Macaca mulatta: one gene and its partner. The protein of the gene in region 1 purifies or fractionates together with the protein of each later gene. This does not show direct contact. Links are inferred from orthologs where the notes say so. Each region holds a gene or a part of one and is shown on either strand. Other genes may lie near its edges. The genes, in order: LSM14A and DDX6.

Region 1 (3,817 bases):
AGCAGGAAATACTCAAGAACATATTAAAAGATAACTGCCTGGCTGGGTGTGGTGGCTCCCGTCTGTAATCCCAGCACTTTGGGAGGCTGAGGTGGGTACATCACCTGAGGTCAGGAGTTTGAGACCAGCCTGGCCAACATGGCAAAGCCCTGTCTCTACTAAAAATACAGAAATTAGCTGGGTGTGGTGGCACGATCCCAGCTACTCGGGAGGCTGAGGCAGGAGAATTACTTGAACCTGGGAGGCAGAGGCTGCAGTGAGCCGAGATCACACCACTGCACTACAGCCTGGGCGACAAGAGTGAAACTCCGTCTCAGACAAAAAAAAAAAAAAAAAGGCCTATCACTAAGTAGAATTTTTTTTCCAGAAAGGTAAAATTTTAAAAAATCTTTATTTTCAAGTAATTATAGAAAAGAAAAATTGAAAAACTAGTTCAGAGTGGCCCTTTGTGCCCATCACCCAACTTCCCAAACTCCAACAGTCACACCTTATATAATTATGGTACATTATCAAAACCAAGAAACTGACACAGGCACAATCTAATTAACTAAACTATAGACCTTGCTCAGATGTCACCAGTTTGTACATGTACTCATTTTCTGATATGTCTTTATGCATAGTTCTATGATGTTCTACCATATATAGATTTGCATAACCACCATCACAATCAAGATAAAGAACTGTTCTGTCACCACAGTGACACTCCCCTGTGCTCCTCCTTTAGAGTCACAACCCCCACCTTTCTTTTTTTTATAGTAATTATGTATCATACATTTAAAATATTCTCCCTGTTGAGAAGCATAGGATATGACTTTCGGATCCAAGAACTTACCTACTTGTCTCTTGTTATCATTTCTGAGTTGCTCATTTTCTGGCCTTGAAACTTTGTGTACTTCAGCTATAGAAGAAGACGTGCAAAGTGTCAAATCAACTCAGGGCACATCATCAAAAACTTCCGTAGTCAGAATTACATACAAACAAACCAAAAATCCCAAAACAAAGCCTGTGCAATGCCCAAAAAACAATACCCACACCACCAACACTTTGAGTCAAATTTGAAAGACCGAACATTCTATCACGTTCAGTTTAATTTTCTGGGATCATTCATATGATGTAAATCCTTCTAATGAAAATAAAGTGAGCGGAAAACATTGATCAGTCAATTAAGGAACAGTAAACAGCTAAAGTTCTACCTCGCCTGTGCTCCTGATTCTCTATTGCTTTTTGGCTGGTAGATGGCAAAGGCCTGGTTGATACAGGACTCCTTCTCCCAACAGGTGCTGGAGCAGGTAAGTGGGCCGAGGCGGTCTGCACTGCTTGTTCCATGGTTGGGCTTTTTCTCAAAGGGTCTAACTGAGGGCTTGAACGACCTAAAACGTAACCAAAAGATAAGAAACTACCCTATTGGGGATTTCAAAAATAATCTAGACCCTAAATAAAATTGTCCAGTTTTATTTCTACCAATTCAAATCCTTAGCATAAATTTGAATTAATCCACTTATCAGACCAGATATTAAGAATGGTTATCCTTAGTGGGCTTGTCATTAGGTTAAAAATAAAAAATAATAATAATTAAAAAAAAAACCTTCAACAGCTTCAAAACCCCCTCCCCCTCACAATTTTATCTGTTATTTCTACTTAGTGGAAGTTTACCTTTAAAAAAAATTGCGGCCTGGTACGAGATTCCCTAGAATTATCAAAGGCTATATTGTAGTCAGGTCAAACACAGGCTTTCCCCAATAACAACCATAAGACTATGGTAACTTGTTTTAATTTTTCTTAGTACTTTCTGTAGATGACTAAAACAATACCTTTACATCTATCTACAGGTACTATCTCCATTAAATTTCTATTATAAGAAAGTAAAGGGCCAGAAGCAGTGGCACATGCCTGTAATCCTAGTACTTTGGGAAGCTAAAGCAGGAGGATCGCTTGAGCCCTGGATTTCAAGACCAGTCTAGGTAACATGGTGAAACCCTGTCTCTACTGAAAATACAAAAATCAGCCAGGCATGGTGGCGTGTGCCTGTGTTCCCAGCTACTCAGGAGGCTGAGATGGGATAGCTTGAACCCGGGAGGCAGAGGCTGCAGTGAGCCAAGATCGTGCCATTGCACTCCAGCGTAGGTGACAGAGTGAGGCCCTGTCTCAAAAATAAATAAATAAATAAATAAAAAGTAAAGAACTAGAAAGTTAGACAGGTGAAGTTCTTTAATGCTTTAGGGGCTTGGGTAACTAAACAAAAACTAAAACGCCAGCAAAACAAAAACAAAAACAAAAAAAAACAAAAAACAAAACTCTTCAGATAATTACACAGTAGCCATACTCATTCCTTGCCTTTTAAAAGATCACTTGGCAAGTTTTTGCTTAATATGGGGTTTGGCTGGGCGCGGTTGCTCACACCTATAATCCCAGCAATTTGGGAGGCTGAGGTGGGCAGATCACTTGAGCTCAGGAGTTCGAGATCAGCCTGGACAACACGGCGAAAGCCTGTGTCTACAACAAATACAAAAATTAGCCAGGCGTGTTGGCACATGCCTGTAACCCCAGCTACTCAGGAGGCTGAAGTGGGTGGATCACTTGAGCCAGGGAGGCACTGGTTGTAGTGAGCCGAGATTGGTCCACTGCATCCAGTCTGGGTGACAAAGCTAGACCCTGTCTCAAAAAATACAAAAATAAAAGAGCCAAAACAAAAAACGGGACTTGTACTTACAAATTATATTTTTCCTTTTATGAGGCCAGAGCCTGGTCACAGCATGAACTGAAGAATGTAACATCGGGTGCTCCCATCATGCTTTCTGTCCTGATAATGTTTGCTGTAAATCTCTGCTCAGGCACTCACATCTCATACTTATTCCAAAATATAATATTTTGCTTAAAAAAATAATGCCCATTTCATGCAAAAAACCCCCCAAATATGCTGCAAATGTTACTGTCCATCTGTGCATATTTGCAGGCGTCAAACAACTAGTGAATGCTGACAATGCATTATTATGTACCCAGATGATTCAGGGATATTTTATTAGTAATATTTCCCCAATTTATGATTATCTAAAGTATGCAATTCCAAATGTGCAATAGTATTTTAGCTATTAATGGCAAAGTTAGCCAAATAAATGATCATTTATCAAAACGAAGAAACCAACACAGGCACAATCTAACACTTCAAAATTAAGTTACCACTAATAGAAGCATTGTAATTTTTCCATTGGATTATAATGGGAAATCATGGTTTATATAAGTTTTGGTCTAAGGAAACACATTTTATAATCACTTATAAAACACATTTTGTTTTGTTTTCGTTTTTTAGAGACAGGGTAGTGTCTTGCTCTGTCGCTCCAGCTAGAGTGTAGTGGCGCAATCACAGCTCGCTGCAACTTCTAACTCCTGGGCCCCAGTGATCTTCCTGCCTCAGCCTCTTAGGACTATAGGCATGCGCTACCAAACCTTGCTAATTTTTTTATTTCACGGGTCTTCTTGAAAAAGCCTACTGCTACAGTTAATTTTATGGTACTACATTAAATCATCTTATAAGTTTATAAAACTACTTTATCAAGGCTTTTGAGAAGAGATCCTACAGCTCACAAGCACTACAGAAGTATAAGCAATGGGGCAATCACAGCAAGTACAGAAACATTTGTTGTGTACTTAAAAAGCCTTTTTACTATTAAGGCCTAATAATCATCATGATGCCAGTTTTGTTATAAACAGGGAAATACAGGTGATACTGTGATACTGGACACATTATTAGGAATAAATCCAGAAGTGATTTCTGCATAATAAAGGCCCACTCCCTTCAGCTATCTTCACAATCTTATTA
Region 2 (3,817 bases), on another chromosome or scaffold:
CACAGTTTTTATGACATTGGGTTACAATTTAAAATTCTGTGAGCAGTTCTAGTAAATACTGGTTTATAATGATGTTGATGTTGACTGGTCCTGCTGATTTACTTGGATCTCTGCTATTCATGTAGAATTCAAATGTAGGATACTTAAAACAATACCGAAAAGAGGTATCCTTCAGTGTATTTCAGAGAGGAATTTGCTTGTGTACTAAATTCACAAGTAATTTTGTATTGTCTTATCTCTTTTAGGAGGAGAGCATTCCCATTGCTTTATCTGGTAGGGATATCTTAGCTAGAGCAAAAAATGGAACAGGCAAGAGCGGTGCCTACCTCATTCCCTTACTTGAACGGCTAGACCTGAAGAAGGACAATATACAAGGTTAGTTGAACAAAAGTTTGTTTTTAAACTAAAAATGGGAGTTTCAGCCTTGGAGCTATGTGTAGAAGATACTACGCCTTTTTTTTTTGTCAGAATTTACATTATCTAAAATCTGTATTCTTTCTTTTCAGATTTTTTTTTAGCCTGATGATGGTCTTTTAAAAATGATTCCCAGCTTTTTAGAGATTTCTAGTTTTAAGAGTGTTTTTATATGATACACAGTTTTGACAGCATTCCAGTGAGACAGGAAAAATAAGTATTAGTGCCCTATAGGTAGGAAAGCTGAGGCTGGGCACAGGGCCTCACAGCCTGTAATCCCAGCACTTTGGGAGGTCAAAGTGGGTGGGTCACCTGAGGCCAGATACTTAAGACCAGCTTAGCCAACATTGCAAAACGCTGTCTCTACTAAAAATACAAAAATTAGCTGGATGTGGTGGCACACACCTGTAATTCCAGCTACTCGGAAGTCTGAGTCACGAGAGTCACTTGAACCCAGGAGGTGGAGGTTGCAGTGAGCCAAGATTGTGCCACTGTACTCCAGCCTGGGTGACAGAGTGAGACTCTTAACTCAAAAAAGAAAAGACAGCTGAGAATCCTGAGAGGTTAAATTAGTTGACATTGCTACTTATAAACTATGGAACTATTTCTTGTGGCAGATGAGTGTTAGCAGAATTCCTTGTAGAAACATGAACTTCTGGCCGGGCGCGGTGGCTCAAGCCTGTAATCCCAGCACTTTGGGAGGCCGAGACGGGCGGATCACGAGGTCAGAAGATCGAGACCATCCTGGCTAACACGGTGAAACCCCGTCTCTACTAAAAAAATACAAAAAACTAGCCGGGCGAGGTGGTGGGCGCCTGTAGTCCCAGCTACTCGGGAGGCTGAGGCAGGAGAATGGCGTGAACCCGGGAGGCGGAGCTTGCAGTGAGCTGAGATCCGGCCACTGCACTCCAGTCTGGGCGACAGAGCGAGACTCCGTTTCAAAAAAAAAAAAAAAAAAAAAAGAAACATGAACTTCTGTTTAAAGTCTATGGGTTCTGAGATTTTAAGAGCCTCGGCAGTGGGAATAAACAATTTTCATAGTTATATTCAGTGTAAGTTAATGGAATTAAGATTTCACCTCTGAAACTTTACATTTTTAGCTTTCTTAATCTGTAATTACCGTTTCTTCCCACTTTTCTTTTTTTTTTTTTTTTTTTTTTTTTGAGACGGAGTCTCGTTCTGTCACCCAGGCTGGAGTGCAGTGGCCGGATCTCAGCTCACTGCAAGCTCCGCCTCCCGGGTTCACGCCATTCTCCGGCCTCAGTCTCCCGAGTAGCTGGGACTACAGGCGCCCGCCACCTCGCCCGGCTAGTTTTTTTTGTATTTCTTAATAGAGACGGGGTTTCACCGTGTTAGCCAGGATGGTCTCGATCTCCTGACCTCGTGATCCGCCCGTCTCAGCCTCCCAAAGTGCTGGGATTACAGGCTTGAGCCACCGTGCCCGGCCCCCACTTTTCATATGATATAAATAGAACCTAGAGAGCAGGAGTTTCCTACTTAGGTATTTTACACTGGTGAATCTGACTCAAATGTAGTTGGGGCTCTTAGAAATATTAAGTTAATAAACTTTGAGCTAATAGTTGCCAACTCAACATGCTAAAAGTTTGTAATTAAGAAAGGGTATTGGCTGGGTGTGGTGCCTCATGCCTGTAATCCCAGCACTTCTGGAGGCTGAGGTGGGCAGGTCACCTGAGGTCAGGAGTTTAAGACCAGCCTGGCTAACGTGGTGAAACCCTATCTCTACTAAAAACACAAAAATTAGCTGGGTGTGGTGGCAAGTGCCTGTAGTCCCAGCTACTCAGGAGGCTGAGGCAGGAGAATTGCTTGAACCTCGGAGGTGGAGGTTGCAGTGAGCCAAGATCATGCTACTGCATTCCAGCCTGGGCAACAGAGCGAGACTCTGTCTCAAAACAAAAAAAGAAGCAGCAGCAGCAGAAGGCCGGGTGCAATGACTCACACCTGTAATCCCAGCACTTGGGGAGGCCGAGGCAGGAGAATCGCTTGAGGTGAGGAGTTTGAGACCAGCAGGGCCAACATGGTAAAACCCTGTCTCCACTAAAAATACAAAAAATTAGCTGGGTGTGGTGGCGGACGCCTGTAATCAATCCCAGTTACTCAGGAGGCTTAGGCAGGAGAATCGCTTGAACCTGGGAGGCGGAGGTTGCAGTGAGCTGAGATGGCGCCACTGCACTCCAGCCTGGACAATAGAACAAGACTCCATCTCAAAAGAAAAAGAAGAGTGTAATATTTATGTGATAGTATTGCTGAGGGAAAGTCTAAATCTGGGACACTATAATAAGTTCTCTTTTTGTAAAGAGATTTGTCCATTTGAGTTTTCATAATGTCCTGTGAGTCTTGTGATGATTCAACTTTTAGTTTTTTTGATTTTTTTAGTAGAGATGGGGTCTTGTTACGTTGCCCAGGCTGGTCTCAAACTCCTGAGCTCAAATGATCCTCCCGTCTCAGCCTCCAAAACTGCTGGGATTCCAGGTGTGAGTTACTCACTGTGCTACCCAGCCCAATTTTTTAATACATCTCGGTGTCTAGATTATAAGGGCAGTGTTTCCTTTTCTTTTCTTTTCTTTTTTTCTTTTTTTTTTTTTTTTTTTTTGAGTTTTGCTCTTGTTGCCCAGACTGGAGTGCAATGGTGCGATCTCGGCTCACTGCAACCTCTGCCTCCTGGGTTCACGATTCTCCTGCCTCATCTCCCTAGTAGCTGGGATTACAGGCATGTGCCATCACGCCTGGCTGATTTTGTAGTTTTAGTGGAGATAGGGTCAGGCTGTTCTCAAACTCCAGACCTCAGGTGATCCACCCACCTTGGGTGGATCCCAGCACTCCCAAAGTGCTGGCATTATAGGTGTGAGCCACCGCATCTGGCCGCCTTTTTTTTTTTTTGAAGCTGAGTCTCATTCTGTCGCCCAGGCTGGAGTGCAGTGGCGCGATCTTTGCTCACTGCAACCTCCGCCTCCAGGGTTCAAGTGATTCTCCTGCTTCAGCCTCCTGAGTAGGTGGTATTACAGCTGCGTGCCACCAAGCCTGGATAATTTTTGTATTTTTAGTAGAGGTGGGGTTTCACCGTGTTGGTCAGGCTGCTCTCAAACTCCTCGTGATCTGTCCACCTTGGCCTCCCAGAGTGCTGGGATTACAGGCTTGAGCCACTGCATCATAAGGGGCAGTATTTCTGTAGCTTCTTGAATTTTGTAAATATAATGTATAGTATGTTTTCCCACCTCACCCCATATTTTCTCATATGTTCCTTGATGTTGTTTCAGCAATGGTGATTGTTCCCACTAGAGAACTTGCTCTACAGGTCAGTCAAATTTGCATCCAGGTCAGCAAACACATGGGAGGGGCCAAAGTGATGGCAACCACAGGAGGAACCAATTTACGAGATGACATA

What was found.
Region 2: the proteins of LSM14A (region 1) and DDX6 purify together in Homo sapiens (affinity purification with mass spectrometry; 4 studies listed by BioGRID and IntAct, with this or other methods). This does not show direct contact. The link is inferred for Macaca mulatta from reciprocal best matches to the Homo sapiens genes LSM14A and DDX6.

Annotation. Positions count from the first base shown.
Region 1 is NC_133424.1:45,540,480-45,544,296, reverse strand, and holds part of LSM14A (protein LSM14 homolog A), read right to left. Parts: intron 1,371-3,817; coding exon 1,194-1,370; intron 899-1,193; coding exon 833-898; intron 1-832. UniProt on the Homo sapiens protein: Essential for formation of P-bodies, cytoplasmic structures that provide storage sites for translationally inactive mRNAs and protect them from degradation. Acts as a repressor of mRNA translation. May play a role in mitotic spindle assembly.
Region 2 is NC_133419.1:119,445,850-119,449,666, reverse strand, and holds part of DDX6 (putative ATP-dependent RNA helicase DDX6), read left to right. Parts: intron 1-245; coding exon 246-375; intron 376-3,689; coding exon 3,690-3,817.